Caenorhabditis elegans: one gene and its partners. The protein of the gene in region 4 purifies or fractionates together with the protein of the main gene of each other region. This does not show direct contact. Each region holds a gene or a part of one and is shown on either strand. Other genes may lie near its edges.

Region 1 (7,106 bases), on a different chromosome or scaffold from region 4:
CACGTTCCATAACGTATGTTGAAGATCTGAAGTTCATACAATTTCAAAACTTTCAGTCATTCTCCAAAAGAAACATTAAATTAATCTTGTCATTGTCCACTGTTGGAGCTGCAGTCTGCTCAATCCCCTCAATGGTTTGCCACAGAGTTTGGAGTTGGGATGGAAGTGCATGGAAATATTCAACTGAACCTGCTTACATGGGAATTGTAAGTGTTGCAAGATTTTTTTTCTAAAAATGTGTGGAGTTTCCAGATCCAAAGATATATCATCATTGCCTGGCTTATAATTTTCCTAACTATCACCTACGTCTACATTTTCATGACAAGTTTCCGAATCCGAGAGTTTCCAAGAAATGAGCGATACCACAAAAATGATCATACCCTGCTCTACTTCATCATCATCCACTCCTTTTTCCAATTCTGGATGCTTATGTACGAGCTCTTCGAGGCATTCACTATCACCTGGGGAATCATCATATTCATGCATGAATGGGTAACCTAAGTCTGCTCGCAGCCCCCTTACAAACTTTTTTTTCCAGTTCTTCGTCGTCTTCTACATGCTAACCGTCTCCAATGCAATCTTCATCTTCCTCTTCACACCACGTGTCCGCCGTGATCTCTCGAATTTCATGTGCCAAGTAATGGAAATTTCCATTCGAAACGGCACCTCTAACACCATCCCGGTGCTCAATGTGTCCGCAAAGTATTGAAAGGATTTTGATGTTATAATTTCTGTGAAATTCTATTTATTTGATCGTTTATTTATTTAAGTTACAACATTAATAATAATAAAGCATACAATCCAAAAACCAAGAATGACGATTCCTGCAAGCAAATGGAAAGCACCTCTAGATGTTTTGCAACTGCCTACCAGTTAGCATGTTAGTCTTATCATTAGTCTACGAACTGATAAGCTTATTATCGTTTGACAACAAGTTCCTCATTCAGTTTCGCTGCTATGATTCTTCTGGGAATCGTTTTACTTATTTCCTATGCTTTTTGTCAAAATGTACCAACTGTGATTTTGTCCGGAGAGTCGAGAATTGTTTCCAGGAGGATTCTTGAAGTCGATCTGGTAAGTGGATTAAGGGAATTAAAACATTATTAACCCGTCAGTTTGAAACAATTATATTTTATTCTTAAGGAACCTATACATCATGACATTCAAAACGGTTCTGTTCCTAATTTTTGTTCACTTATTTTATTGAATACATTCTAATTATTCTTGAACAAAATCTCAGCCTAAGTTATTCGTACAGTGTCGGTCCTGGAGCAATGAATCAAAGTTTAAAGAGATTTCAATTTACACAGTAAGAGCTTCGAGGCGAAGCCTCAAACCTGAATAGTCAAGTTTTCTAAACATATACCCCACTCCTGAAATAATTTCAAAGAGATCTCGAATAACCCGTTAACAGGTTCGAGGCAAAGCCGAGAACCTGCGCCAGCTACCTTGCTAATAACTTAGAGCGAATTAACCCTATCCCCATTCCCGAAGGGCTGGCGGGCCCATAGGCCCGCTAGTCACCTAAAATGATGATATCGGGTGGCAGGCATATATGGATTTTTTAACCGACCAGTTAAAAACTGATATTTTAAAAAGGTGATGCTAAAAAAATTGTTCAATCAATCCAATCTTCCAGGGAACAGCGCAACAACTACCTGTATTTCATGATCAAAACTTTGATAGAGTCCCTGTGCAAGTTGTCAACCGGCAGGACCCCAATGAACACTGCGACACATAGTACCCTGCGACAGTATATAGAAGAATCCTAAGACGAGCTAGAGTATTCAGAGATCGACAAGGACAGCTCACGGATCAATGGGAGCCGCTTGGAGATCCAGTGGAAGTGGAGTCTTGGACATTGACACGGAAACAAGGGAATACTGGAAAATGAGAAAATCGTCTTCAAGTTTTTCTCTAATATTGTAATTTTCAAGTTTTATTGATTAAATTTGGTTCATAAAAATTTATTTGTGTTCGACAACATGGGTGAAGCCGCATTGTTCCAGATGTGTAAAACTGTGTTGTCCTAAAAGATCAAAGACCCAAGCTTGACAAATCTGAAAAAAATGCTTTCAGCACTCCCCGCAAAATCACATGATTCGATCATCAATTTCCTCTTTGCGGTTTTATACAATACCTTCAGACAATAGGAACAATTTTCTGTCTCTTCCATATCCCTTTTCCCTTTCATTTCCCATTTATTTCCCTCTGTGTGTCCAAGTGCCTGTGTTCTTCTCCTTCTTCTTTCATCTTAACAACATCTTCCTCCGACTGCGTTTGTACACTTTCACCTGTTATTCCCTATTTACCCTCATATCCTAGATTGAAATCTGCATACTCTCCCAGTATAAATCAAAAGGTTTACTTTACTGTTTCATAGTTCCTTTTTATTAGAAACTACACATTTATATTACAAATAACTAGATGTTTCGGTGTTTTAGTGGTTATGTTTTTTTTAATAATTTTTATTACCTTTCTAGAATCTTCCAAAATTTTCTCGAATTATTCTGAAGGTTCCAGAACCTTCCAAAATTTTCTCGTATTTTCCAGATAGTTCTAGAACATTCCGGAATTCTATCTAATTTTTCAGAAGGTTTTAGAACATTCCAAAACTTTCTCGTATTTTCCAGATGGTTCTAGAACTTTCCGCAGCTTACAGGCACAAAATTAATCCGGTCTTGTCCAAATTCCTTCTGAAATCTTAATCTGTAGGCTACAAATTTCTCATTCCTATCGGACTTTCAAAATCTTTTTCGTAGAACTATTCGTCATTCAAATACATGCACTTTTAAAATTTCCTCTTTGGTTTTCCTTCCTCTTTAGCCTATTTCACCGAATTTTTGAGATCAATAATTCCATGTGTCCGATTTTCGAATAATTTAATATTCACTATCAGTTTTCACGTATCATAATTCTGGAAGTCGATCAAAAAACAATGTTTTGTACTCTACATTTCTGTATTTAAATATTGTAGAGGTTCACAATACATGTTCTCGCTCTTCAGAAAATTCCGAATTCTATAAATGTCGCGGAACCATAATTATTTGGCCTAAACCGATTTCAAATACCTATGTTAATTCTAGGTCAATCCGGTGGTTGTAAATCATCGACAATAACAATATATACGACCTACTGTACTAGTAGGTTGTAAATACTGTAGTACTACCACACCACAAGAGGCGTTCTCTTAGCAATACATTTGAACCTTGACCCTTGTTACGTCTCTTTCTAGGATAGAAGAAATCGGGGAGATGTACTTCAAAGGTGTGCGGTCTCAAAGGTCACAAAGGTGTCTCAAACATTTATATTATCCGGAAAATTTCCTCACCGTCGCTACCTCATAATTAACAAATTAAACACCTAAATAAATTTCAGCAAAAGAAAAATGACTCAAAGCGACTATATCGAAAGTTCGGAACACATCAAGGACACTCAAATCGGTTACTGTAAATACGGCCACGGTCCGAACTACATTCTCGCGATTTGCGGTGCTGTCGGCTGCTATAAAAAAGATTGGCCACTCAAATTGCTCTCTCATTTCCCACCAGATCAGGTCACAATTGTTGGGATTGATCCTCCAGGTTACGGTACCTCAAGACCTCCAGAGCGAAAACAAGAAGTTCAGAGATGTATGAAGGATAGTGAATATTGCCTAGGGTTAATGGAGGTGAGCTTTTAATTTTGAAATTAAAATTTTTACGTTTTCAAAAAGCCTCCAAATTTTAGACCCTGAAACTAGAGCCGTTCACCGTGATGGGGTGGTCAGAAGGTGCTAGAACAACGGTCCACGTGGCAGCTAAAGGAAAGGAAAAAGTGAATCGAATGATTGTAATGGCTGGTGCAACAAAAGTTAATCATCTAGGAGCCATGGCTTTCAAGGGTGAGATATTTAGATATATTTGGAAGATTACTGTTTTTTAATGAAATTTCTTAATTTGACACCAATATGGCCCATTTTTCCACATAGAAGCAGCAATTTATGCCTACCTACCTACAAGATTTTTTATGGGAAAATAAATCGAACGTCCATTTTATGGGTGTGGCCATCTATTGGTTTTGTGCTCTTTATAAATTAATTTTTGGAATTTCAGGAATGCGTGAAACAAATCATTGGCTAGCAGCCGGTCGTCAACCATATTTGGACCATTATTCGCCGGAAACACTCCGGACACAATGGGCGGCACTTTGTGACGTCGTAGATCAGTGAGTTTTGTGGGCGGGGCTTATGCGAAGTTGTGTATATTCCTGTAGGCACAAATATGTCTGCCAACTACCTTCAAGGCGACCTACGTCTGCTTCCTACCTAACCAAACGAATTTTCAGAGTTCACTCGTTCTGCGGTGGCCGTTTCCCGTGTGACCTGGTACTTCCACAAGTCAAATGCCCGACACTAGTGATGAATGGTGGATTGGACCGGTTCTGTGGTGACCCGAATGTATGCTTCATCCCAGTGCTCAAGAGTTTGGCAAAAGTTGAGATTCATGCACAAGGAGGACACGATTTTTATTTGAAATATCCCAAATGGTTTTCCGGAAAGGTTCTGGAATTCTTGAAGAGCACGGAGAAGAAATGATAAATATATGAAATTTGTATTTTGTATTTTGTGAAGAATAAAGTTTATAAAAAATTCGTCCTGGTCTCAAGCAATTTCGCTATTACACTCATAAGCTCCACCCACAAAATGACTGATTTCATTAGGAATTTTGCCAAAAGAAAATTTCAGAAAAAATTCTAAAATTTCCAGAAAAAAAATCTTCCCGTTCACAAAGGGTTTCTGTCCGAGCCTTGTGGGCGGGGCCCATGCGAAGCCCAATTAAAATTTTTGGGACAGTATACTTTCTGGAAACGTCCGTGAAAAAGTTTATACAAATTTATTTCACAAAAATAAAAATAATTACGGACTAGCGTGACTAACAGGCTTCCGGCGAACATTCTTTGCTCTTGTCGCCAAAAGTAGTCGTCTCTGCTTCTTGAGCACTCGAGCCAGCACTCGTTTCCTGTACTCATCCTCTTTATTGTACTCTGACACGTAACGGCTTTGGGATGCTGTGGCGTAGCTTGTGGACACTGTAAAAAATATGTTGAAATTTGAAATTTGAGTTTTTTTAGGCCGTAATATCAGCCCCGCCTACTTAATGGAAAAAAGTAGCCTACCTGGTGCCGGCTGCACATAACTATTCCGATTGACTCCTGCGTTCTTTGGTGGACACGGACAATATTCAGCATCCTGCCCCGGTGGCCCACGAACTCCTGGATAGCCAGTAACTCCAGGTACCCCTGGTTCTCCATCCTGTCCAGCTTCTCCCTGAACTCCAGGTGTTCCTGGTGGTCCTGGAGGCGGTGTATATCCAGGTGGCCCTGGTGGTCCGCATTGACCAGGAAGTCCTGGAGGGCCTTTACGGCCTGGTAGGGATATCTGACGGATCGAGTTATTTCCAGGCTCTCCCTTAAGGCCTGGTGTACCATTGGGACCTTCCCGTCCAGCTTCACCACAAGGCCCCGGTGGCCCAGGAAGTCCTGGAGGAGAGGTGTATCCGGGATTCCCTGGGAGCCCGGGAATTCCAGAAGGTCCACAAGGCCCAACGGCACCAGGAGGACCTTGTGGACCCTGGGGACATTGTATGCAACCTGGAATCTCTTGATCGTAAGCTATAAGGGTTACACCATTGGCTCCTGGACGTCCATCGAGACCCCGAGAGCCCGGTTCTCCAGGAGCTCCAGGGTAACCAGTGGGGCCTTGTGGTCCTGGTGGACAATTGTTGGCTTGTGGGGCACAATCTGAAAATTGAATTTTGTAGTTTGTAGTCTCGTTTTTAGTTTTTGCCCTTTTATCTTTTCCGTTTTTCGCAAAATTCTATAAAATTATAATTTTCTTCTAAAAAAAGAGATACAAGATGTTCAAATAGTCAAATTGTGACCAAACTCCGCCCAAAAAATGGATATTAGGCTCCGCTCACAAATGTATCTTGCTGAACGAGCTTTCCCATTTTTTAAACGAAAATTCTCACAGAATCCAAGCTCCGCCCGCAAAATGGATGTTATTTTTTGAAGAAAAAAAACTAACTGCATTGCTGTTGTGTTGGATGCTGTAAAACGGGTGCAGTCGCATAACTATTCACTCTTGCATACGAATTCACTTGCTGCGGAGCATAACTATCATAAGATCGTTTTGCCCAGAATCGTTTTCCGGCATTTCCAGAGTTTCCTGTCGTTGATGGACTTCTGGCTTTTCGAATTGTCAGTGACGTCATTTCATTCCACGCGGCGTCGGAGAAGTACTGGAAAACTTTTTTGTCCAGGTGCAGGCAAATAAAAAGTCTGACCAACCTTCCATTCTTTTAAATCATCCAGAGTCTGCTCCCGGAACTCGGAGATTTCCCGTGACGTCATCATAATCAAAAACAGACATAACGAAATCAATAGGGACGAAGCGATGAAAGACACACGTATTACTGTAGATAATTGAAACTTTTTCAGTGAACAACTTTGGTTCAAATTCATGGTTTAATGAAGTTTTGCGGCAAGAACTAGTCTTTTATATACTCCCTCTCCTGCTGAAAATAGAGACGGGCGGCGCATAAAGTGAAGGTTTTGGAACGGAAAATCCGGATCTTTTCAATGCGCGAAAAGTACTTGGAAATTCAATTGGCATATGTATACCACTTATTATATTTCAATTGGTAGAATTTTTTTTAACAAACTGATTTTTGATTTTATTTTTCTGACAAAAAAAAGTTCCACCGGAAACCAAATTATTCCTAATAAAGGAAGAATCATTAAGATTTTGAAAGCACTATCAATGAATAAACGTGGCGCCAGTTAGTCAATAACCACTATAATGGCAGTGAGTTGATAAAAATTGATAGTGGAATTTTAATACGATTCTTCTTTCAGGTAGTTATATAAACATAATTTCAAAGTGCAAAATGAGTTCCATTAACATTTAAATAGGGAATTAAGCATGTTAACTTGCAGAATTCAAAACGAATCTCATCTCATTTAAAGCATATGTTTTAACAGTATTCTGAATTTTTTTCAATGCATGTTTCAGTGATTTCAAGACTCATTCGATGTTTCGGGATGAATATATTTACTGAATCCTT
Region 2 (8,366 bases), 6.4 Mb from region 4:
CGGTTTCATCAGAATGTGAGTTCTTCTGGGGTCGAAAATAGTGTGGAACTCGTCAACACAAAATGCTCAATGAGCTCTATCTCTCGGCTCAAAGAGGCATTAGCTCAAATTAAATAAAAAATTTGATTTCGCCATAAAATTTGCTACTGATTTGACCCCCATATCGACAACTTCAAAATTTTAGAAATCGACGTCCCAAAATGCTCATCGAGCTCTATCTCGGCTCAAAGTGACGTTAGCTCAAATTTGATAAAAAATTTGAATTTGCGATAAATTTTGCTACTGATTTGACCCCCATATTGATATTTTTGAAATTTTGGAATTTGACAACACCAAATGCTCATTTTGAAAAATCGATTTTCTAGGCCTCAAAATAGGCTTATTTTGAGTTAAAAAACATTTTTAAAGCCTAAAAGCTTAAAAGCTTAAAATATTTGTAGTCCCGACAATTTTTAGACAGTTTTAAAAATGAGTCCCAGTGGCGCAGTATGTTAGAGGCGCGTTTACCACGCACAGGTCCAAAGTTCGAGTCCCACTGCGGTCAATAATTTTTATTTTTATTGTGATTCTTAATAAAACATTCCAGAACCACTGCCGAACGCTTTCCCGCTCAGCCCTCTTCAACCCAGCCCGGCAGACTGACCCCCCGGCACTCGGCGATGTTCAACTGTGCTCGTGTTACGGTGACCGGTGTAATTCTACAATAATGACGTCATCATCAATATTTATCGTCTTTTTATTAGTTTTTCTACATCGGTTATTGTATTGAAAAAGATTTTCTAAAAAATTTTTTTTTTGTGAAAAAAATTGCAATTTTTTTTTGAATTTATTGATTTTTACATGTCTTTCTTTGGATTTTTTTTTTGAAATATGATCTCCGTTTCTCTAGATGCCCATTTTTATGTTGGATATATGTATTACGGGTTTTTATATAAATATATATATATATTGGAAACACCAAACATTATTGGTTTTTTTTTTTGCTATTCTAACTGTAAGTTTTATTGCAAAAAGTGAATAAATTTTTACGTTCTTTTTTCTGAAAATTGTTTTATTTAAAAAAAAACAAAAAAACAAAAAAATTCAAAGATTTTGTCCAAATGGCTCAGTGGGATTTTCGCCGAACAAACTAAAACTACGAGAAAAAGGTGAAAATTGAGTTTTAAAACTTTAATTTATGAAAAATCTAAAAATTTGTGAGTTTTTCGCATATAAAAACTTAAAATTTAACTTAAAACCGTGATTTCTTATAATTTTCATCATTTTTCTGAATTTTTGAAAAGTTCGGTACAAGTGGCTCAGTGGGATTTTCGCCGACTACCAATCACAAGACCGGGGTTCGAGGCCGCGCTGAGGTCAAAAATTTTTGTAGTGGTTTTTTAACGTTTTTTGACAATTCAACTACGTAGAGTCCAAATTTTTAAGTGTTAGAAAACCAAAAACTACAAGAAAATGGTGAAAATTAAGTTTCAAAATTTCAATTTTAAAAAAGTCTAAAACTAGAGCTTTTTACATATAAAAACTTAAAATTTAACTTAAAACCGTGATTTCTTATAATTTTCATCGTTTTTCTGAATTTTCGAAAATTTTGTCCAAGTGGCGCAGTGGGATTTTCGCCGACTACCAATCACAAGACCGGGGTTCGAGACCGCACTGTGGCACAATTTTTTTATTGTGATTTTTAAACGGTTTTCGGATAATTCCACCATGCGGAATCCGAATTTTCAAGTTTTAGAACACAAAAACTACGAGAACATTATGAAAATTGAATTTTAAACTTTAATTTTTTTAAAAATCTAAAATTTGTGAGTTTTTCACATATAAAAAATTAAAATTTAACTTAAAACCGTGATTTCTTATAATTTCCATCGTTTTTCTGAATTTTCGAAAATTGTGTCCAAGTGGTGCAGTGGGATTTTCGCCGACTACCAATCATACCTCCGGGGTTCGAGTCCCCGCTGTGGTAAAAAATTTTTATTTTGATTTTTAAATGGTTTTCGGATAATTCCACCATGCGGAATCCGAATTTTCAAGTTTTAGAACACAAAAACTACGAGAACATGGTGAAAATTGAATTTTAAACTTTAATTTTTTTTAAAATCTAAAATTTGTGAGTTTTTCACATATAAAAATTTAAAATTTAACTTAAAACCGTGATTTCTTATAATTTCCATCGTTTTTCTGAATTTTCAAAAAAATGTGTCCAAGTGGCGCAGTGGGATTTTCGCCGACTACCAATCACACCTCCGGGGTTCGAGCCCCCAGCGTGGTCGAATTTTTTTGTATCTTTTGTATTTTTCTCCAAACAAGTTAATCATGCAAACTTCATATGTTTTTCACCTGAAAATTGCCAAATTTTCTGCACTATATTCAAATTTATTAGCATTTTTTCTAGAATGTACACGTGGAAATCACTACTAAATTATGGTAAATAGCGTAGCAAATCATCATCAAATCAAATACTAAAAGATTCTCCGCATCCACACGTTCCTTTAATATTAGGATTTCGGAAAACGAATTCCGACGATAGCTTATCGGTGACGTAATCCATTTCTGAGCCGAGTAGCGAGAGCTGAGCTTTTGGTTCGATCCACACTTTGATTCCGTCCTGGAAAATGGGAAAAATTGGGGGATTTTTCATCGAAATTAGTGAAAATCCGGGTTTTTTGTGATAAATTTGAGCTAAAAATCCAGATTTTGAGGCAATTTCTACCTGCTCAACTTCCTCGTCAAATTTCTGCTTATCCTTTGCATATTCCAGTGTATATGTTAACCCATTACAGCCTTTTTGTCGAACTCCGATCTGAAAAAATTAAAAATTTCATCATTTCCGGCGGCGCAAAAATCGAAAAATCGAAAAATCGACGGAAAAAACGAACTTTCAACGCATTTGCATCATTCTGTTGAGCCAATAACACGCGTATTCTGCTGACGGCTTCGTTGGTAAGTGTGAGAGCCGCTCTGAAACTTTTTCGGGGTGAAAATTGGCAGATTTCCGGGAAAATTCAGAATTACCTCGTTTGTCGGACTTTTAGCGCGCCTTTTATGACTTTTGCAGTTGCTCCACCGAATTTTGACATCGGAAAATTGAAAATTTAGTCGAAAAATGAGTAAAATAGCGAAAATTCCAGAAATAAAATGAAAAAAAAAAAAAAAGTGACAACGTTGCTCCGAAATCCCGGCCACGCGTGTAGTTTACCGTAAATCCAAACAAGAAATTTTTTGTCAAAATTGCCGAAATCAAGCGATTTTTAAGCTTTTTTTCTGTAAATTTTTTACGAAAATATGAAAAAATCAACGTTTTCATGCTATTATTTATTTTTCCCCTGTAAAAAACCTTTGAAATCATCGAAAAACCCTTAAAATCCAATAAAAACCCAAACACAACGACACTCCGCTCACCTCCCACCGCGTGTTGTTTACCGTAAATCCACACACAAGAGCAATTGTGCAAAAAAAAAAAACCCCGTCCAACCGGAAATTGTCCCAAAATTCTTCATTTTCTATCGATTTTCTTGCATTTTTTGTGTTTTTTGTGAATTTCAGGCTCAACATTTCGAAAAACACGGTTAAATTTTAGGGAAACCGCTCCGAAATTCGGTTTTTTTCGCTAAAAAAAAAGAGAAAAAAAAGAAAAAAAAAAATAAAATCTAAATTTTCAGGCTCCGAAATGGCTGCCACTATAACAGATGACATTGTGGCGACAGTTTTGGAGTCAATTGAGGAAAAGTCGTACGAAGATGAGAAGGAGAAGGCTGGAATGATTAAAGATGAAGCTAATCAGTTTTTTAAGGGTATTTTTTGGAAAAAAACCGATTTTTTGATGAATTTTAAAGTATTTTCCTGCTGCAGATCAAGTGTACGACGTGGCCGCCGACCTCTACTCTGTCGCAATTGAGATTCATCCGACGGCGGTTCTTTACGGAAACCGTGCACAGGCCTATCTGAAGAAAGAGCTCTACGGAAGTGCTCTTGAGGATGCGGACAACGCGATTGCAATTGATCCGTCATATGTGAAGGGATTCTATAGAAGAGCTACCGCCAATATGGCTCTGGGGCGGTTTAAAAAGGCGTTGACCGATTATCAGGCGGTTGTTAAGGTGAAAATTCACTTTTTTTGGGTGTTGAAGAGCGGAAAAAACGGCGGTTTAGAAACTATTTTTCACCCGGTTTAAGAGAAAATTTCGAAAAAATATATCAATTTTCACCTCCAGAAAGTCGGAAAACGCGAAAAATTTGAAATTTTGCTTTTTCAATTTTGGGCGCTGCTAAGACTACAAACTACAAGATTTTGGGCGCTGCTAATTCAATTTTGGGCGCTGCTTAGACTACAAACTACAATATTTTGGGCGCTGCTTAGACTACAAACTACAAGATTTTGGGCGCTGCTAATTCAATTTTGGGCGCTGCTTAGACTACAAACTACAAGTTTTGGGCGCTGCTAATTCAATTTTGGGCGCTGTTAGACTACAAACTACAATATTTTGGGCGCTGCTAATTTAATTTTGGGCGCTGCTTAAACTACAAACTACAAGTTTTGGGCGCTGCTAATTCAATTTTGGGCGCTGCTGACAGCTTTCGGCCGAAAAAATTGAAAAGAAATCGATATTTATGAAAAAAAAAACCAATTTTTATGAGAAAAACGTGATTTTTGATAATTTTTCTCTCAAATTTAGTATAATTTCAAAAATTCCCGTATTTTTCCCCGAAAAAATTTCCATTTTTTTGCAGGTTTGCCCCAACGACAAAGACGCTCGCGCAAAATTCGACGAATGCTCGAAAATCGTCCGCCGACAGAAGTTTGAAGCCGCAATTTCGACGGATCACGACAAGAAAACCGTCGCCGAGACTCTTGATATTAATGCAATGGCTATTGAGGATTCGTATGATGGTCCACGGCTGGAAGATAAAGTACGGGTGGAAAATGGCTGTGAAAATCGATTTTTAGACGGAAAATTGATGTAAAACCGGCAATTTTGACCCCGAAATTCAATTTTCAGAGCGGAAATTGCGATTTTCGGTGGAAAACTGATGTAAAAATCAATTTTTCATAGAAATTTGATCTAAAAAACGGTCCAAAAACATAAATTTTTGTGAAAATCGATCTAAAAATACGTTTTTCAAGGGTAATAGGCCAGAAATTCGAATTTTTTTGCGAAAATTAGTCCAAAAAATCGATTTTTCAAGGGAAAAGTGGTCCTGAAACTATTTTTCATAAAAATTAATTTGAAAATCTATTTTTCACTGCAATTTTAACCCAAAAATCGATTTTTCACAAAAAAAAACTAGCATTTCCGGTCAGAAAACGTGCAAATTTCCAATCTTTTTTGGATTTTCTGGAATTTTCATTAAAAAATTGGTCCAAAAATCTATTTTTCATAGAAATTTAGTCCAAAAGTCAATTTTTCACGAAAAATTCGCCTGAAAATCATTTTTTTTTCATAGAAATTTAGTCTAAAAATCGATTTTCCGCAAAAAATACAGAAAAAAAGTGAATTTTTCGTTAAAAAAAAGCGAAAAATTGAGTTTTTTCCCGTTTTTTCCGTAAAAAACCGCAAAAATGATCAAAATCCTTTTCAGATAACCAAGGAATTCGTGTTGCAACTCATCAAAACGTTCAAAAATCAGCAAAAATTGCACAAAAAGTACGCGTTCAAGATGCTCCTCGAGTTTTATAATTATGTCAAATCACTGCCAACAATGGTTGAAATTACGGTGCCAACTGGCAAGAAATTCACGATTTGCGGTGATGTTCACGGACAATTCTACGATTTGTGCAATATTTTCGAGATTAATGGATATCCATCGGAGACTAATCCATATGTACGGGGAAAGCGCTGAAAAATGAGAGATTTTGACTGAAAATCCGGGAAAATTGAGGAATTTTGAGCTAAAATTCATAAAAATTTCCAATTTTTGACCGAAAATCATGAAAATAGGCAAATTTTGTGATATAATCATGTTTTCTAGTGAAAAACCTCTAAAAATTGAATTTTTTTGCAGAAATTATTGAAATAAGCTCAATAAATCGACATTTTGATTGAAATTCGTGAAAAAATTTCAAACATTAAAACCAAAACAGCTGAAAATTGAGGAATTTTCACCAAAAATGCGGATTTTCAGATAAAAACCCTGAAATGATTTTTTTTTTCAAAGTTTTGGCAGAAGTCATTGAAAAATTCCGAATTTTTAGCAAAAAGCAAAAAAATTGCCAATTTTTGACTTTAAATTTATGAAAAATGCTCGATTTTTTTACTAAAAACCGCCTGAAAGCCAAAATTTTGTCAAAAATCTTGAAAAAGTCGAATTTTCTACAAAAAACCATCAAAATTTCGAAATTTTGACTTAAAAATCAATGCAAAATATTTTTTTTTCACTAAAAAGCTGAAAAATGCTCTTTTTTAATGCTCGAAATTTTGGCTAAAATTCATTTTAAAAAATCCTGATTTTCACCAAAAATTGGCAATTTTTCATCAAAAAACTTGAAAAAATTTCAATTTTTTGCTGAAATTGCAGAAATACCACAAAAATTACCAAATTTTGACTCTAAAAATCACGAAAACACCTAATTTTCACCCCAAAAACCCCCGAAAATGGCCAAATTTTCACTTAAAATATGTGAAAAATGCTCAAAAAATGGCCAAATTTTCAGCTTTTCAACGGTGATTTCGTGGATCGTGGCTCATTTTCCGTTGAAACAATTTTCACAATGATTGGCTTCAAACTTCTATACCCAAATCATTTCTTTATGTCACGTGGAAATCACGAATCTGACGTCATGAATAAAATGTACGGATTTGAGGGTGAAGTTAAGGCGAAATATACTCAACAAATGTGTGATATGTTTACGGAGACGTTCTGCTGGTTACCATTGTGCCATTTGATTAATGAGAAGATTTTTGTGAGTTTCTTCACGTGAAAAATGGCCTGGAAATCTGGAAAATTTGAGGAAAATGGCCCAGAAATCGCTGAAATCCTGGATTTTTCATTTCTGGGCGCTGCTAATTTTCTGGACGCTGCTAATTTTTTGGTCACTGCTAATTATTTGGTCGCTGCTAATTTTTTGGGCGCTGCTAATTATTTGGTCGCTGCTAATTTTTTGGTCGCTGCTAATTATTTGGTCGCTGCTAATTTTTTGGTCACTGCTAATTATTTGGTCGCTGCTAATTTTTTGGGCGCTGCTAATTATTTGGTCGCTGCTAATTTTTTGGTCGCTGCTAATTATTTGGTCGCTGCTAATTTTCTGGGCGCTGCTAATTTTTTTGGTCGCTGCTAATTTTCTGGTCGCTGCTAATTTTCTGGTCGCTGCTAATTTTCTGGGCGCTGCTAATTTTTTTGGTCGCTGCTAAATTTTTGGGCGCTGCTAAATTTTTGGGCGCTGCTAATTTTCTGGGCGCTGCTAATTTTTTGGGCGCTGCTAATTTTTTGGTCGCTGCTAATTATTTGGTCGCTGCTAATTTTTTGGGCGCTGCTAATTTTTTGGTCGCTGCTAATTATTTGGTCGCTGCTAATTTTTTGGGCGCTGCTAATTTTTTGGTCGCTGCTAATTATTTGGTCGCTGCTAATTATTTGGTCGCTGCTAATTTTCTGGTCGCTGCTAATTTTTTGGGCGCTGCTAATTTTTGGGCGCTGCTAATTTTCTGGTCGCTGCTAATTTTTTGGGCGCTGCTAATTTTTGGGCGCTGCTAATTTTCTGGTCGCTGCTAATTTTCTGGTCGCTGCTAATTTTTTGGGCGCTGCTAATTTTTGGGCGCTGCTAATTTTTTGGTTGCTGCTAATTTTCTGGGCGCTGCTAATTTTTGGGCGCTGCTAATTTTTTGGTCGCTGCTAATTATTTGGTCGCTGCTAATTTTCTGGTCGCTGCTAATTTTTTGGGCGCTGCTAATTTTTGGGCGCTGCTAATTTTCTGGTCGCTGCTAATTTTCTGGGCGCTGCTAATTTTTTGGTCGCTGCTAATTTTTTGGTCGCTGCTAATTTTTGGGCGCTGCTAATTTTCTGGTCGCTGCTAATTTTTTGGGCGCTGCTAATTTTTGGGCGCTGCTAATTTTCTGGTCGCTGCTAATTTTCTGGTCGCTGCTAATTTTTTGGGCGCTGCTAATTTTTTGGTCGCTGCTAATTATTTGGTCGCTGCTAATTATTTGGGCGCTGCTAATTTTTTGGTCGCTGCTAATTATTTGGTCGCTGCTAATTTTTTGGTCGCTGCTAATTATTTGGTCGCTGCTAATTTTTTGGTCGCTGCTAATTTTTTGGTCGCTGCTAATTTTTTGGTCGCTGCTAATTTTTTGGGCGCTGCTAATTTTTTGGTCGCTGCTAATTTTCTGGGCGCTGCTAATTTTTGGTATTTTTCCAGGTGTGCCATGGTGGAT
Region 3 (8,592 bases), on a different chromosome or scaffold from region 4:
TCATTTCAGGAGTAGACTATATATCTGAATCTCGAATTAACTTTAATAGATGTGGATTTACATAGTGTTAAATGATACTTTTTAATTTTAAAGAAGTACCCATATTTTTCATTTTCAGTCCATCATAACACTTATCGTAAAATGTAGATCAAATGCAGAATTCAATTAAATCGTAATGTTTTGTCCTCGAATATACTCTTGTTGAGAAGTCAAAATCCAACTAATAACCTTTTACCTCTAAGCTTCTCTTTCTAGTTTCCGCCGGCGTCAACCACATTTTCACCGAGTGATCTGCATCCATCACATCCGTATTTGGAAGATGACCTCCATTAAATTGAATTTCAAACGATTTCTGAAATACACGCTCATAACTTTCACCAGAATAAAACTCAAATACAGTCTCTCCTGGCTCCATTATGCCAACCGGCGGATTCACTTTGAGCAATGGTCCGAAACTAGTCTCCCAACCAAACTTCATTCGTTTTTGAAAACGATTTGCTACTTCCAAAAACATCGTTTGATCGCGAGTATCATCTTCGAATATTATCTGTTACAAAACGAAACATTGAAAGAAAAATATAAATTGTTTATACCATTTGTTGATCACCTTGCGAAAGTGTTGTCATGATGATAGGTTTTGAAAAGAATTAATAAAAAGCATTTATTGTTGTCGTGGAATAATTTTTAAAAAATTCAAAATCCTAATTATGAACGTGAGATTTTTAAAAGTTAGTAAACCGGTTTTAATCTTTTATCCCTGCGATAATCGAACTGACTGACAGAATCAGACATGTGCTCAGCTTGACGGCTTGTTGAGGTTCTGAAAAATAAAGCAGTAGGTGAGATGAATAAAAAATTATTCTTCAATTTGAAACCAATACCTAAAAAAACTTGGCTTACCTCATTGAATAATTTGCACGAGAATCACTATATTGTGTTGATTGAAGTTCATATTTTTCTGGCAATCGTACATCTTTCCGACCATTTGCATTTTTAGAATTTCGATCTGCTCCTGGTTCTCGATGTTCAACTATCCGAAGATGGCCAAGTTCAACGTATCTAAAATTTTGTTTTCACGGCCTTCCAATATGAAAATAAAAACCTGTTAGCATTTCCAATATGTGCATAATTTGATGCATGAATTCCAAAAAATAAAAGAACTCCAAGAATGATGAGAACACATCCAACCCATCCGATGACATACCAAGAGAATGCTGTGGAGGTAAGTGCACAGAATTGTTGCACATCTCCACCGCACATTCGAAGATTCTGAAATAATTCATTTGTTGACTTTAATTTTCTCAAAATGATAAAGTTGTTGTTCATAAACTTTAGGAAGAATACTCAAAAAAATCCCAAATTTTAACATTTCTCCAATTCAACCTACATATGTAAATGTGGAACTTATTAAATTGCTTTCTTTTGAGAATCCTAAAACTTAATACTCACCGAGTTGGCAAAGGACGAAACTAATGGCCAGAAAACATGAAGATCTATACAGTCACCATCTGTATATCCTGGAAGATTCATGCAGAGCCGATCGAAGAAATAATAAAATATACAAAGCCAAGATACAATTGAAATAATGAATAGCCATGCAATTATCTGAAAGTTAGTTTTAAAATTATACGTTTACTGAGCAATTCTTACTAGAAAGAAATCGATCAACATTGCGATGACGCATGCAAATTTTCCACCACAGCGAGCTTCATCGTCTGAAAATATTGTACATAAGTTCTCCTAGATCATTGTCATTTTGAACCTTTATACATAGTTTCTCTTGTTCCTCCAGTTGCAGTAAATCCGATGCATAAGAAGAAAAGTGAGAATAGTCCCATTAAAACTGCGATTACAATAAAGAAAACTTGAACCTTGTCAAGCCATGGCCAATCATTTATTTTCAGAGATCTTCTGACTTGCTCTGCAGTTGCATTAAATGCCCAGGACATCATAATTGCAAAGAGAATAACTCCAAGAATGCATAATAATGATCCAATAAGTGATGCATATGGTATTCGATGAAAACAGTCATCTTCTTCTGCGTCCGCATTCAAATGAACGACGGCGGCGTTCTGCGAACGTCTTTGCGCCGCCTCTTTCGTTGATCTTGACACTATTTTGACAGTTTGAAAAATATTATTTCAGATGAAAAATAAGAAACAAATGTAGCCGTGGAATAATTGTAATAAGCAAGTGCAAGCGGGCACCGGGGCAACAAAAAGGTATGTATGAGTGTGTTTGTTTGTATTGCGATCGAAATTGGAAACGGACGCGGAAAGGTGAGATAGTGGGTTGGGAACAAATTTAAATATTGAGACGCAGACAGCTCGCCACGGATGGTCAGTTTTAGCGGAGGAAAGCAGAAAGAGGAGAAGATGATGGTGAGTCATGTTTGCATGATCTTCGATGAGAATGTCGCAAGGTGCCATTTGAAAGTTGGAACAACTCATGTATGACGCAATTTTACATTTCCTCTGGGTGACTTGTGGTGTTATTTTCAATTTATTGAATCAGTAGGAAACACACACATTTTAAAATGAATGTGCATGCAATTGTGATGTACGATGAGCTGCAATCATGAACATCTGGGAAAAAGAGTTGAAGAATACAAAGGAGTCTGCTGCCGTTTCATTGAACACTTTTCAGCGGCACCTGCCAACCGGATATACATTGAGAATTTTTTTGAAAGTGGAAATATGAATATATACAGGTTACTGTTTTCTGAGAAATGGTTAAATTTTGTTAAAATTATATTCAGGAGTTCTTTTTTTCAAAGAACTTCTTAACTTTTTCATATATGGTGACATGGGTTTATCTATCACACAGCCTGAACGCGGTCTTCACAATTGATTTTTTGAGCATTTTTAGGTGGCATTAACTGTAGATGACCTCGTTTTCATCACCTCTCGCAAGCCCTTTTGAGTTTGAGAAAAGCTTATTGAGACTTATGTACTAATATCAAATATTATTCGCAGTAGAATTTGAGCGCTAAATAAATGAGTTGGTGTTTGTGCTCAGTTTACTTCACAATTTGCAAAAACGAAATACATATAAACACAGACTACACAAACTTGTTTGTCCCCTTTTTTACCAATTTGCTCGCCCTCTTATCTATGTCCTACGGTGTAAATTGGAAAACAGACTATCTTATCATTCTGAAAAACGATTTAACTTTAACATACATGTTACCTCATTTTTCTGCAGCGTTCTTCTTGAAAATGGCACGGTTTTTCCTTTTTTTGGCGTTTGTGGAAGTTAATTCTATTATTTCACCTCCTAATGAAATTATCGAAACATCTGTGGAAGTATTCAATCAGTGGAAAGAAACTAGAAATGCGTTTATGGATTCAATGGGTTAGTTTATTAATCGTTCCATCTAACCCTTCAAGTTCCGTGTTACAGAGTACCCAATGGGCTTTCCAAACTTCAATTGTCCCCAACCTCATCGAAAATCTTCCGAATCTGTACATCAGCTTCATCCATCACAAATTGGAGTGATAGCAGCACTAGGCGATTCTGTGTCAGTTGCACAAGCGGCGAAATCATCGTCAATTCTCGATTTATTTGATCAGTTTCCTGGTGTTTCGTTTGTAACAGGAGATGATGTAAAGCTGAATGAGCAAGCCACCTTTATTAGTAATAATTCGTTTTGACTTTCACTTACTTGCAACAGAAGCTTTTCAGATATTTTCCGTAAATTTGCACCGCGAATAAAAGGAGGATCCTCTGATTTTGTTCAAAAGTTTTACGACTTTAACATGGCGATTCCTGGCTCATTCAGCTCGGAGCTTCCCGAACAAGCGCTCAAATTAGCAAGTACATTGAAGAAAAAGCTGGGTAGAGAAACATCTGATACATGGAAATTCGTTAATATTTTCATCGGTCATAATGACTTGTGTAACATTTGCAATAATGAGGTAAAATAACCATTTCACATCGGAGCTAATTTTCATTTCCATTAAAAAATATTTCAGACTACCTTCGGGCCTGAAACATTTGGAAAGTCACTTCACTCGGCACTTACAATAATTCAAACAAATGTTCCAAAGGTATTCGTTAACATAATGCCACCAATAAATGTCAAAATTCACTCACAAGCTCACAAGTTGAGTAAGTTCTGCGAGTTTTCACATAGGTTTGTTTTTCAAAATTAAAAAAAAAATTAAACATATAATTACAGAAAAACATGCTCGTGTATTTTTGAATTAAATGAAAAAGAATATCAAAACATCAAGAAACAATTCGATGAACAATTGAATGAAGTTGTAGAACAATTCAATCAAAAATATGGAAATTCATCTACATTTGCTGTTGTGATTGCTCCAGCCATGGATCTAAAATCAATTCCGTTACTTAAAAACCAGCCGAATATTGGACTATTGGCACTCGATTGCTTCCATCTTTCTCCAATTGCTCATGATATTGCTGCGAAACAAATTTGGAAAGGATTGTTCGAACCAATTGATCAAAAAACAATCACTAATCAATTATCAGTTGGATTCGATAGATTCGTGTGTCCTCCTGTTGAATGTCCGTACCTAAGAACGATTCAAAACTCTGAAAACTGTGAGCCATCAAGAGAAATGAGATTTCTCCGAGTTCCTTCAGCTTTTGCAAGCTCTCCTGGTTTAAGCATGCCTCCATACATGATTCCTGTATTTTTCCTTTTTGGTGAGTTTGGTCTGGGAAAAAATACGTTGCTTATTTTTTTGTGAGGCGGCTTAGATTAAAAGCAGCTGCTATAATAATCAATAAAACCACTTTTCAAATATTTTCATTGGGAGAAAGTTTCCGTTTTCGCTTTTTCAGAGATAAGAGATATAAAATAAAGGGGCACCAATAAACATATTTTCTCAAAAACGCTAGACGCTAATTGCCTGCCCTCAAGGCACCTACGCCTGCGTCTTGTGTACTACCAAATTTGAACTTTTTCACTTTTGAAGATTATGTAAACATACTATAAGAAAAACGGTTTAAAAATATATCAAAAATACTCTGCACGGTGAAAAAATCTAACACCTGAGTTCAAGCTAAAGTTCAAGAAAAAAGGCATAGATGTAGGCAGGTAGATATTCTGTCACTTATGACTAAAAATATGTCTTAGCATTATTCAACTTTTTATATAAACCGAAAATATTTTGTTCCTAGGTACCGCTCTAATACTCCTATTTGTTCGTGCTTCCATCCGCAGTTCTACGACGTCTTCCGAGTTTTCCGATGAACGACATCATCTACTTCTTCCGCTGCGTGCCGACCTCAATGACAACATTTTCTAAATGGTTTCTAAAATGTACTCATGCCACTTGATGAGACAGTTGCGTGAACGATGAGAACGTCTAGATTTCCACTTTTTATAACAACTACCAGCACCCTTCTTACTCTTCCTAATGATGTCACACCTATGCGGGTTTTATTTCGAATGGCGTAATGCATTCTATCTCACTACATCCATTAATGTTGCCTACTGTATTTATTGTTTTGTGTAGACTACATATCAGTCCCTAGTGTAGTATCATAATGAAATGGCAAAGAGGAAATAAATGGAAGTGTGTCTGTATGTACATATATATCTCCAAAAAGCGATTCATTCAGAAAGAGACAGAATCGAAATTGAGAGAATGAAGAGGAGAAGGAAACCCGATTGTGATTACGTAACCGAGTTTCTTTCAGAATCAATCATAGTGGACAGAGGTGATAAGATAAATTGAGGTAAAAAGATCCGATGGACATGAGAACCAGAGATTTATTATTACGTCATCTAAAGTTCAAAATGGCTTTAAGAAGTTAGGATACTCGATCATAAAATGTTCTTATTAGGTGACACACATTTAGAATAATGAGTCCGATCATATATAGTCAGATATTCTCTTAGTTTTCCTCATGTTTCCATCAACTTTAGTGAAATTTTCCGAAGAAATCAAATCTGAGCCCCTGAAATTTCCATCAGAAACTGTTTCAGTACATTTTTTGCTGAATTCGGTATTGTTAGATTTTATTTTTTTAAATCTTTACAGATCATTTTTCCAAATAGTATGAGATTGTTTTTCTGGAACTCCAAATATTCAATCCTCAGGCTATGCATAGATTTCTAGGTTTGCTAGAGTTGATTGAGAAGTTGCGGCGAATTGTCGAGATTTCAGACCAATTATTAATTTTTCATTCAATACCGAAAAGTCTACGCAGCTTTTCAGTTTTTCTAGAAATTACAAGATCCATTGTTGTGGACTTGTATGTTCATCTAAAAAGACAATGTCAGCCACAGTCGGTCCATTCTATATATCCAATTTATCTACTAAAGGAACTCGTTTTTTTATTTATCTTTTGCTTTTCTTTTTTGCTTCGTCCTTTTTCAAAAGGCTTTTCCTTTCCTGTGGCGGCGGCGGCGGGCGGCCAAAACATCTGTGGCGTCGTGCCCTCGTCGATTGCGCAATGCTTCATCTTCATATCCTCTCAGCTTTTTCTTCATCTTCTGGAGACGGGTTTAGCGGTGTCGCGCCGTTTCGTCACGTTGTGTCGTCAGGGTGTCATGACTCGAGAGAGAAAATGAAAGAGGAAGGCATGTAATTGTTTGTGATGGGATATGCAATTGCCAATCAAAAAGGTTAGCGCCTTGAAAGTGAAAGATGTCTCACCGGAATAACCGCTTCATCTATGTATTCCGTTTATTCAAACTATTTCAAACAAAACAATTGCGAAGGTCATGACCATCAAACTCTTCATCATTGTAATTCAATTGAAATTAAGAAAATTGAAACGAAACTCCCAAACCACAATCAACTAGTAGTGTTCTTGGCAAGTGTGACCATAAAGATGTACAACACCTAGTATATTCTTAATTAACAATCACGGCATCTTTCCCCTTGTCTTTCAAAGCAGCTTCACACCAGTCTCTGTGTCGCCTAGATTATACTAGAAATTACACATTTTGCCCACGCACCGTTACAGAGAGAGAGGCCCGTCGACCTTTTCCAGTGTTCCTCTCCCTCCGCCTTCTCTCTTCCAAAATCTTCTTCACCAGCTTCTCCCGCTCCACGTCTTGGCCACGCCCCATTCGGCTTTAGTTAGCAGTGCTGGGCTGCCCACTAAGATCCGGTCTTGCTAGTCTATACCTTCTTACCTTTCCATTTTCTCTCTATCTACCATTATTATGATCTACCGATTTGTGGCAACTGTTGCCATATTGGCAGCCAACGGTGAGCTCTAAGTTCTATTATAGGTTAATGTAGAAAGTTTAGTTTCAACCCATAGTTTCAGTTATCCACTGAAAACACGAATATATTGCATTTCTAGTACCACTACCATTTTCAAAATTTGAAAATTATATATTGTCTTTCTGTTCCGCACCCCATCACTCAAACTTGAAAGTTTTTTTTCCGTTAGACTTGAAAATATCCGTAATCTTTCTAGAATGAAACTAGAATAACAGATAATGAATTTATGTCAGTTGACAGATTTAAAAAATTCTGATATAGCTGCCACATGGTGCAAGACTCATAGTTAAATACGGTAGCATATTTCCCAAAAACATTACCATCATAATTGTCAAGAAAATATTCAGTTTGAAACTTAAAAAAAACGTTTTTTAAAATTTAATTTCAGCTCACTGTCAATACTATCAATGGCCAGAACAACATCAACAATTTAATAATTTCAACGGATTCCCGCAATTCCAACAGCAACAGTTTCAACAACCACAGCAGTTCCAGCAGCAACCACAATTCCAGCAACAACAACAAAATTATCAGCAATTCCTAGCTCAACAACAGTACCAACCACAATTCCAAGCTCAGCAACAGCCTCAGCAACCACAATATTTCCAACCACAGCAACAGCAGCAGCCTGTACAGTACCAACAACAGCAACCACAGCAACCACTTCAATATCAGCAGCAACCACAACCAGCTCCACCACCAATCTACTCACAAACTGTTGTTATCCCACAAGCTCCACCCCCACCACCAGAGGCTTATCAGCAACAACAATATGGTCCATCTCAGCAGAATCCAGTAATGGTTCAACCAGCCGATATCCCAAGATATCATCAGAAGCCTCAGCCAGTTCCACAAGTACCAGATGTTGCATTCCAACATGTGAATACTGCTAGAAGTGTTCAACAAGTCGATTTTGATAATAAATTGTTCCGAGAGCAACCAAATTCATTCACTCAAAACCAAGAAAAGGTAATTATGGCACAAAATTGATTTTATGCACCAAGTCAAAAAAGTTTCCTCCAAACTTTAATTTAATTTTGTTTAAAACTATTATTTTGCCAAACAGGATGTTTTGGATATGATTGAGAAGTTCGAACCATTAGTTCAAAACCTGGAAATCAAAAAATACGACACCAACTATCCCTCCTTATTCACAGATTTTCATTAAGTTAAAAAAGTTTATTTCAAATGTTCTTTGTTGATTCCTCTGATTCCCTTATTTATCTTATGTTGCAGATCACTCTGCTCGCCCAACCACCACCACCTCCGGCACCTCCAGCACAGACTCAGGCACCACTTGTACGTGCATGTTTCAATATTTCATCTATATCACTCACTTCACTGTCCTTGTCGATCCTCATCATTTTCAGATCCGTGTCCC
Region 4 (7,058 bases):
CTATCTCTGCACTTTCTTCCTGTATTTCCCTCTCAGTTTCTGCTATCCAAGGGCTTCTCTCGCCTTCTCCCCAGCTGACAATCGTCCCAGATCCCTCGTCGCTTTTCGGCGGTCGATTCGACGCCGCAAGACAAAACTCGTGGCTCTATATTTCCACTGCACACGAAGCTGTAGGGTCCTCTTCTCTGACAATGCCACGCCTCTCTTGTCTAGATACATCTAGATTCTCCATCGCTTGTTCCATTCCCGTTTTCCCAATACTTTTCACCCTCTTCTCGCCTGTCGTCATCGTCGTTACATTTGTTGTATAGCCCAGTCAACCAAAGTCATATGCTTTCGTTTTTTCTTTGCTTCAAAAATCCTATTGATAAATTGCCGCTTCATCCAAATTGGTCACATGTTCCGCGAAAGAAACTTGGACTGTATTTTCATTTTTAATAGCTACTGGGATATCAGTTTTTCATATCATTTTTATATATTCTTCATCCAGAAAATCTAGTTTTTGAGTCATCAGAGATTATACTTCTGTAGATTATTCACCATTCCTAATTCATTTTTTATCTTTTCGAAGTTTGCAAAACCGGCGTTCATTAATACTTTCAGACATGGGATTATCGGGCGTTGTTGAAAACCTTCGTTCCCTTAAGAAAACTGTCAAGAAACCAATTGTGGCCTTCCGTGAGACTGTTCACAATGCATATACAAAAGCCTACGTGGGCTCTCCGGAAAGAGTTGATGAATTCTATAACTACATTAAAGTGTACACTCCGAGCAAACACAATGACCTTTGTATGATGAGCATTACTGCGGATATCAATCGATTTTCAATGATTCCCGATAAGAATACATTCTTCCATGTTCTCAAACTCGAGAGACATTTTGACCGGATGATTGCCACTCGCAAACAGCCGGATGTCACTGGGGATATGGCGGTGAGTGACATATCGGGGTAAATATACGGGACAAAACGAGTTATAAGAAAAAAGAAGCTAATGGAATAATATATTTGGTTCGTTCTTTGCAATAAACAAATATTTCCTTTTCAGATTCAAATCCTTTCCGGTCACAATACGACATTTATGAGCAAGTACCGTCGGTACAAAACAAGGTCAGCTGCAAAAGAACTAAAGAGAAGAAACCAGCGATTCAAGGCTCTGGACGTAAGTGCAAGTGAAAATGTGGAACATGTGGCAGTGTCTACTAACTTTTAACTCAAAACTTTCAGGTGAGACGACACACTCAACTGCCAGACTCTGGGAATGATGACTCTTGCATTTATACTAACCGAACTTCATTTGACGTTCCCACAATCAGTCTAGAAGAAGATAAATTAGATATAAAGGATGTGGTTGAATCGATGGCTAGCGATGAAATTCCAGTTGAAGAGAAAAATAAAGAATTGGAGGAATGTGAGCTTGTTCTGAACAAAATCAGATTAAACCGAACACTCCAAAAGATTGAAGAGCTGGAAAAGAAAAACGTGTCGGTTGTTTGTGAACTGACCAAACCAGAAACTGTTGTAGCCGCGCCTGTGCAAGTTGAAAATGTCATTATTTCATTGCCGGTTAAAGAAGATGATTCACTTGCCATATCTGCTGCAAAAGCTAATCTTATTCAAAAAAAGCATCAATCGAAAAGTAGTACAGAAAAGTCGATGATGTCTGTGACAAAGAAACACGAAGCAAAATTCAAAGTTGCTAAATCTGTAACTGTGAAAAAGGATAAAACTGAAAAATCTGAAAACCTTAAATCAGATGTTCCCGAAAAGACGAATGAAGTTACAATTGCAGCATCTCTTTTAGAAGATGTTATGGAGCAACTGAACTTGGATGACAAGAAGAACACAAAAGTAAGTTCTAGCTTAAAGTTTGATTTGTGCAAAATAATAATAAATAAAATGGTTCTCTCGTTATTTCTAATTAATTGTTGGGAAGCAAATTGTTCACTCGTAAAGTTTCAACAAAACTATTTTTAGGCTGCGTCACAATCGAAAATTGTGGACGATGCGAGTGATTCCGATAGTCATGAAGAATTCGACAAATGTGATCAGGATTCAGACGATGGAAGTGACATTGAAGAGTTGGAGAAAATCGAGGACAAGGACGTTGATGCTCTAGAATATGAAATGCTATAGGTGCCAAGTATCTTGCTTTTCTGCCAACGGGTACTTGTGCACTCTGTAACGTGTTTCTTGCTTCAAATTTCTCATTAACATTCTTCCGAATTTTTTCATTTTCAAAATTGTTCAATAATGCCAAAGAACCGTTTGTTTTTCTTTAGTTATTAAATTGAACAAACTGTAACTAAATGTTTTTAACATTCTTATTTGTACATAGAAATGTAACTTCTCTAATTGTTTCATATGTATTCATGTTTCAAGTATTCATTTTTCCTCAACTCCTTATATGAATTTTTGTATAAAATGTAAAAACATCCGGATTTTTCACAATTACCATCCCACCACTGCATAATAATTCTAGATGCCTGCTTGCGCATCATGGCGTCAACAAAACAAAAATGCGTTGTTGTGTTATTTGTTGACAATGACCGGTTTGTAGTAGTGATGGCAGTGGGTGCCACTGCTTTAAGCTTTTCCTTCAAGAGAAAGTGAGTAGACAGGAAAAAAAAGTGAGAAAAATAATAATAGGCTTGATTGAAATTTCTTGTCTGTTCTCATTTTCTTGCGCATGGGTAATGCGTGATACTGAAGCTCGTTAGCATTGTAGAAAACCGAAGAGGGACTTCAAGCTTGAAAGAGGGAAAGTTTTGAAGAGGTGGAAAAATGTGAAAATTGATATAGAAAATCATGAGTTCACGGTGTCAAGTTTCCAATAGAAGGTACAAATAATAGAGCAAGACCAGCACTAAATTTCAGGATAAACACTTTGTTAAAATCTCGCATATTCTAGCTTTAACTAAGTTCAACTAAAAATAGTATTGTTGAGTTTAATTTTAAAATATTTTCGCAAGTTGCGTCCTTGTGGAAGGCTTACTGTACGTATTATGAAGGTACCCACTAGGATGATCCAGTACGGAAGTAAGTCGTAAAGATTTTACCAAACGATTTTTCATAAAGTACGAATTTTTCATAAAGTCTTGTAATTCATAATCGAGGTCACATTGTTGTGGGAAAACCATGCGCTTCACCCACTGACCACCTGATTTCAATAAAAGCTTCTAATATTTCTCTTATCATTTGCTCCAAGCACTCTAGCAGAGCATCATGACGTGTTGTTTTGTTCAATTCTTTTTCTGCATCCTTTACAAAATCAAATCAAAAACAAGCGGGGAAGTGTACGGGGGGTGTGTGCAAATTATAACTCACAAGATGCTTGAGGTGGTCCACTCGTTGCCTCCTTGTTTGTATGTGTGTAGTGTTCCTCATCCTATTTCTCGTTCTCTTTCATTTTGTCTGCTTCTCTACAGCTTTTGTCCATTTATTCTTTTGCATACGATTGGCTTTTCATTTACTTTTTGCATACTTACTACATTTATCCATCTCTTTCATAATAATAACAATAATAATATTTCCAGGGACACTTCCTAACTAACCTGCTTATCTTCAAAATGTTCGAAAAAGTAATCAAACTATGGAGAGATACATTCCCAAAATCGGAGCACAAATTGATGTCAATTGAGTATGTCGCTGCGATTGAAGAATTCAATGAGTATTTCCCTGGATATGCTGCAATGAATGATAGTAACTATTCAAAACTTCAGCATTTCTTCCGTTCTCTTCACCCAATTGGATGTATTAAACCTTTCCGATTTCATTATTCATCGGCATTTGCATTGGAAAACTCATTAGATGACTATCTTCTAAAAAATGCTCAATTCAAAAGAGACGGCTTAGCTGGAGAATGGGCGGTGAGTTTCTAGAATTGTTTTAAATAAAGATGTCAAAATCTTGAACACGTTTGGCATTATTGTCTTAAATTTGAAATTAAATTCCAGTCTGAAAATTTTGAAAGTTTGGTTGGCATATATCAAATGTAGGTTTATTTTGTTAAAATGTACAATGAACTCACAAAAACATCAAATTAACTTTTTAATCCTGTTAGGAAACAACATACACCAAATTCTCTACAATTGAAAAAAAAATCGAATTTTTAGATTCACATCTTTGCCGACCACAACGACCATATTATTGAAAAATACCGAATGTACAAGAAGAAACGACTTGAGAAACTGGAACGAACTTTTGAGGAAAGAAAAAAGAAAGCAGAGAGAATGAATCAAAAGCATGAATATCGCTTGATGTGGTATTTAGGGAAGGAAGGATATTACAAATACACCAATTCACGACTGGAGAAGATGGAAAAAGACCGAGAAATTAGAAATAAAAATGGAAAGGAAATGGAACAAGTCACCTAAACTTCTGGTACTTAAAAATGTATTTTGTGTTCTTCCAAGTCGTCATTATTCGTCTACTTCTACCCATTTGACATAATCTTTTCCTCATCATTCCCCTCGTCCATGTTGTTAATTTCAATAAAACGAAGTACAAATTGGAACAGCGCAAACTATTTTCTTTATATATTAAGAGAAACACACACACAGACCACAAATTCAAGGTCTTTCTTCCAGTTTTAATTCGATAATTAGGATTGCGGTTTGTGTATAAATATGAAGTACCCCCAACTATACAAACTTTATTTTCCTTCGAAATGTCATCAAAAGTTCCAATCTTCACTCTGTCTAATGGAGTTCTCATGCCAAGTATTGGTCTTGGTACCTGGCAGGTAACATTTAAAATTAGTTTGAAGTTTAGAATAAATTAACTACCATTAGCAAGGATTTATTCAACACTTGGTTGTAATGTTACTTGAAATTGCCAGTTTTTGTACATTGATATAATTTTTAGGAATTTTATTAAAGTTTCGGATAGCTGTACCCAACAAATTTCAATAATTCAGACAAAAAATGTTTTATCGGAAATATTTAGAAGCAGAGAAGCAAACTAGAAAATAATTTTTTCGCTCAAAAATCTGTATGAGCCAAAGAAAAGAGTCCACTCTATAATTTCTCAAGAATTTGTTGTATTGGTTCAGTTGTTTACAAAATTTTGATATTTTTCGAAACTTAAAAAACAATTGGCGTCACTCTTTAAAAATCATCATTTTCTCTACTTAATAGATGACGGGAGAAGAAGGAAAAACAGTTATCCGAAATGCAGTTCTTGCCGGATATCGTCACATCGACACAGCTACTCTTTATCAAAATGAGCATCAAATTGGAGACGCTTTAGCTGAATTGTTTGCCGAAGGGATTTTAAAACGTGAAGATATTTTTATAACAACTAAAGCGTTCTGTCATGAAGTTGCGCCTGATGTTGTAGAAGAAGCATTGAGAAACTCACTGAAAAGACTTCGTTTGGATTATGTTGATTTGTATCTTGCACATATTCCCGCATCAACCAAAGACGATGGATCGTTTCGTTCTGATGTAAAAGTTGAAGATATTTGGAGAGGGTTCGAGAAAGTGTATGGTTTGGGATTGACAAAAGCAATTGGTGTTTCAAACTTCAATGAAAGTCAGATTGTCCGAATTATGAATATCCAAAAAGTTCCTATTCACGCTTCTCAGGTGACCTGCTTTCTGTTTTTTTATAATTTCTATGAGTTAAAAAATATCAAAAACAACATAACTCTGATGAAATTTTTTTGACAATCTTCATATATTTGCATCAAATTTTTCAGCTTGAGCTTCATCTCTATTTGCCTCAAAAAGCTCACAGAGAGCTATGCAAAAAACACAACATCCTCATAACAGCCTATGCGACGTTAGGCTCTCCTGGAAGAATGTCTGTCGTTGGTTCAAATGGTAGACCTTTGTTTGAAAGCACTCAAAATTCTGAAAATGAAATGAACGACAAACATGTGAAGGCGCTCGCACAGAAATACAGTAAAACTCCAGCTCAGGTAAATTTTCAAATAATCTGTTTACAATTTTGTGCCGGATTATTTTCAGATTCTTCTCCGGGCTACAGTTGAAATGGGAATTATAGTTATTCCAAAAACTACGAATCCTGAAAGAATGAAAGAAAACATCAACATTTTTGATTTCAACATTTCAAATGCTGAAGTAAATCTCCTAGAAGCGCACGAGAGAACAAAACAGGAAAGACTTTTCTGGTGGCCAAAGTATTTTTTTTTAAGCAACAAAAATGATACTGAACACTATTTTTCAGCGTTGCTGATCATCCTGAAGATCCATTCGCGACACAGAGATAACAAATGTCCAAAAGAAATATAAATACAAATTCTACTTTTGTTTTGAACCAAAATAAACAATTTTCGATCTGTTCAAAATATTTTATCCTTGGAAATAAGGCACTAATTGGAAACAGGAATTGTGCTGCTACCATAATTTTGAATGCTGCTCGTATGTCTTATACAAACTACTTTTTTCATCGGGACAACTTTTGCACGGTGCAATTGAATGGATACTACAATTGATTCAATCGCTCTGCCAAACATTTTGGAGCAGCATCGTATGGTCCCATTTCCTGAAATTTTTAAATGGCTCTCAATTTGGATGTTCTCATAACATATCAAATTTGTTCGTTTCGGTATAAAGAGTTATGATACTCTAGTTTGATTATACGATTTTTTTTTAACGTGCGAATGCACTTGCGTGGATTCGATGTATGATGGTTCAAACTATGGGAAAAACTTAAAATACAAAAATCATTAAAAAAAATCATATGTAAGTTTGTGTAACATGCAAACGTTTCAAACTTGCCAAAATTTAAAAAAAAAACCTTGTACGTTTTAAACGCGTACCTACTTACCGACACAAGGTAAAACTCTCAAAAGGTTTATTTTTAAAAAAAATTTCGTTTCTAAACGGACTTTTGATAAATGCATTTTTAATAATCCAAAATAATCGAATACAAAAATAAAAGACTGTCGTGTTTAACATTTCTCTCACTGACACAAACCATCATTGTGTCGAATTTGAACGTTTTTTTTAATTGAAAAGATTCAGTTAATGCGACCCACCTCATATATAAAAATCGTTCTGGATGCAATGAAAGATGATGAAAAATCAAACAA

The links.
Region 1: the proteins of ZC443.2 (region 4) and K01A2.5 fractionate together in Caenorhabditis elegans (co-fractionation; one large-scale study listed by BioGRID). This does not show direct contact.
Region 2: the proteins of ZC443.2 (region 4) and pph-5 fractionate together in Caenorhabditis elegans (co-fractionation; one large-scale study listed by BioGRID). This does not show direct contact.
Region 3: the proteins of ZC443.2 (region 4) and F13H8.11 fractionate together in Caenorhabditis elegans (co-fractionation; one large-scale study listed by BioGRID). This does not show direct contact.

The regions. Positions count from the first base shown.
Region 1 is NC_003280.10:299,027-306,132, forward strand, and holds K01A2.5 (AB hydrolase-1 domain-containing protein), read left to right. Parts: upstream 1-3,378; 5' UTR 3,379-3,388; coding exon 3,389-3,670; intron 3,671-3,729; coding exon 3,730-3,883; intron 3,884-4,094; coding exon 4,095-4,206; intron 4,207-4,326; coding exon 4,327-4,576; 3' UTR 4,577-4,633; downstream 4,634-7,106. Other genes in the region: B0432.1 (Serpentine Receptor, class T), read left to right, coding at 1-13, 57-206, 253-492, 539-709; K01A2.6 (AMIN domain-containing protein), read left to right, coding at 958-1,074, 1,640-1,741; col-69 (Nematode cuticle collagen N-terminal domain-containing protein), read right to left, coding at 4,898-5,070, 5,158-5,781, 6,068-6,281, 6,331-6,504.
Region 2 is NC_003283.11:19,186,885-19,195,250, forward strand, and holds the start of pph-5 (Serine/threonine-protein phosphatase 5), read left to right. Parts: upstream 1-3,662; 5' UTR 3,663-3,670; coding exon 3,671-3,794; intron 3,795-3,852; coding exon 3,853-4,100; intron 4,101-4,731; coding exon 4,732-4,911; intron 4,912-5,580; coding exon 5,581-5,823; intron 5,824-6,652; coding exon 6,653-6,901; intron 6,902-8,350; coding exon 8,351-8,366. Other genes in the region: hot-2 (Homolog of Odr-2 (Two)), read left to right, coding at 1-15, 587-769; Y39B6A.3 (Iron-sulfur cluster assembly 1 homolog, mitochondrial), read right to left, coding at 2,456-2,608, 2,714-2,803, 2,880-2,967, 3,016-3,080.
Region 3 is NC_003280.10:6,254,582-6,263,173, reverse strand, and holds F13H8.11 (Lipase_GDSL domain-containing protein), read left to right. Parts: upstream 1-3,152; 5' UTR 3,153-3,218; coding exon 3,219-3,354; intron 3,355-3,402; coding exon 3,403-3,636; intron 3,637-3,684; coding exon 3,685-3,917; intron 3,918-3,974; coding exon 3,975-4,135; intron 4,136-4,180; coding exon 4,181-4,671; intron 4,672-5,148; coding exon 5,149-5,276; 3' UTR 5,277-5,561; downstream 5,562-8,592. Other genes in the region: F13H8.12 (MSP domain-containing protein), read right to left, coding at 236-352, 398-547, 594-626; nmgp-1 (Neuronal Membrane GlycoProtein), read right to left, coding at 730-820, 901-1,059, 1,103-1,269, 1,450-1,605, 1,651-1,715, 1,763-1,952; dbd-5 (uncharacterized protein), read left to right, coding at 7,148-7,193, 7,600-8,180, 8,448-8,510, 8,582-8,592.
Region 4 is NC_003283.11:12,807,668-12,814,725, reverse strand, and holds ZC443.2 (uncharacterized protein), read left to right. Parts: upstream 1-3,533; 5' UTR 3,534-3,567; coding exon 3,568-3,867; intron 3,868-3,986; exon of another isoform or gene 3,987-4,113; coding exon 4,114-4,374; 3' UTR 4,375-4,514; downstream 4,515-7,058. Other genes in the region: ZC443.3 (Glutamic acid-rich protein-like), read left to right, coding at 606-932, 1,047-1,160, 1,226-1,849, 1,976-2,134; ZC443.1 (NADP-dependent oxidoreductase domain-containing protein), read left to right, coding at 4,668-4,742, 5,137-5,586, 5,700-5,921, 5,971-6,143, 6,191-6,233; ZC443.7 (Serpentine Receptor, class BC (Class B-like)), read right to left, coding at 6,449-6,508, 7,005-7,058.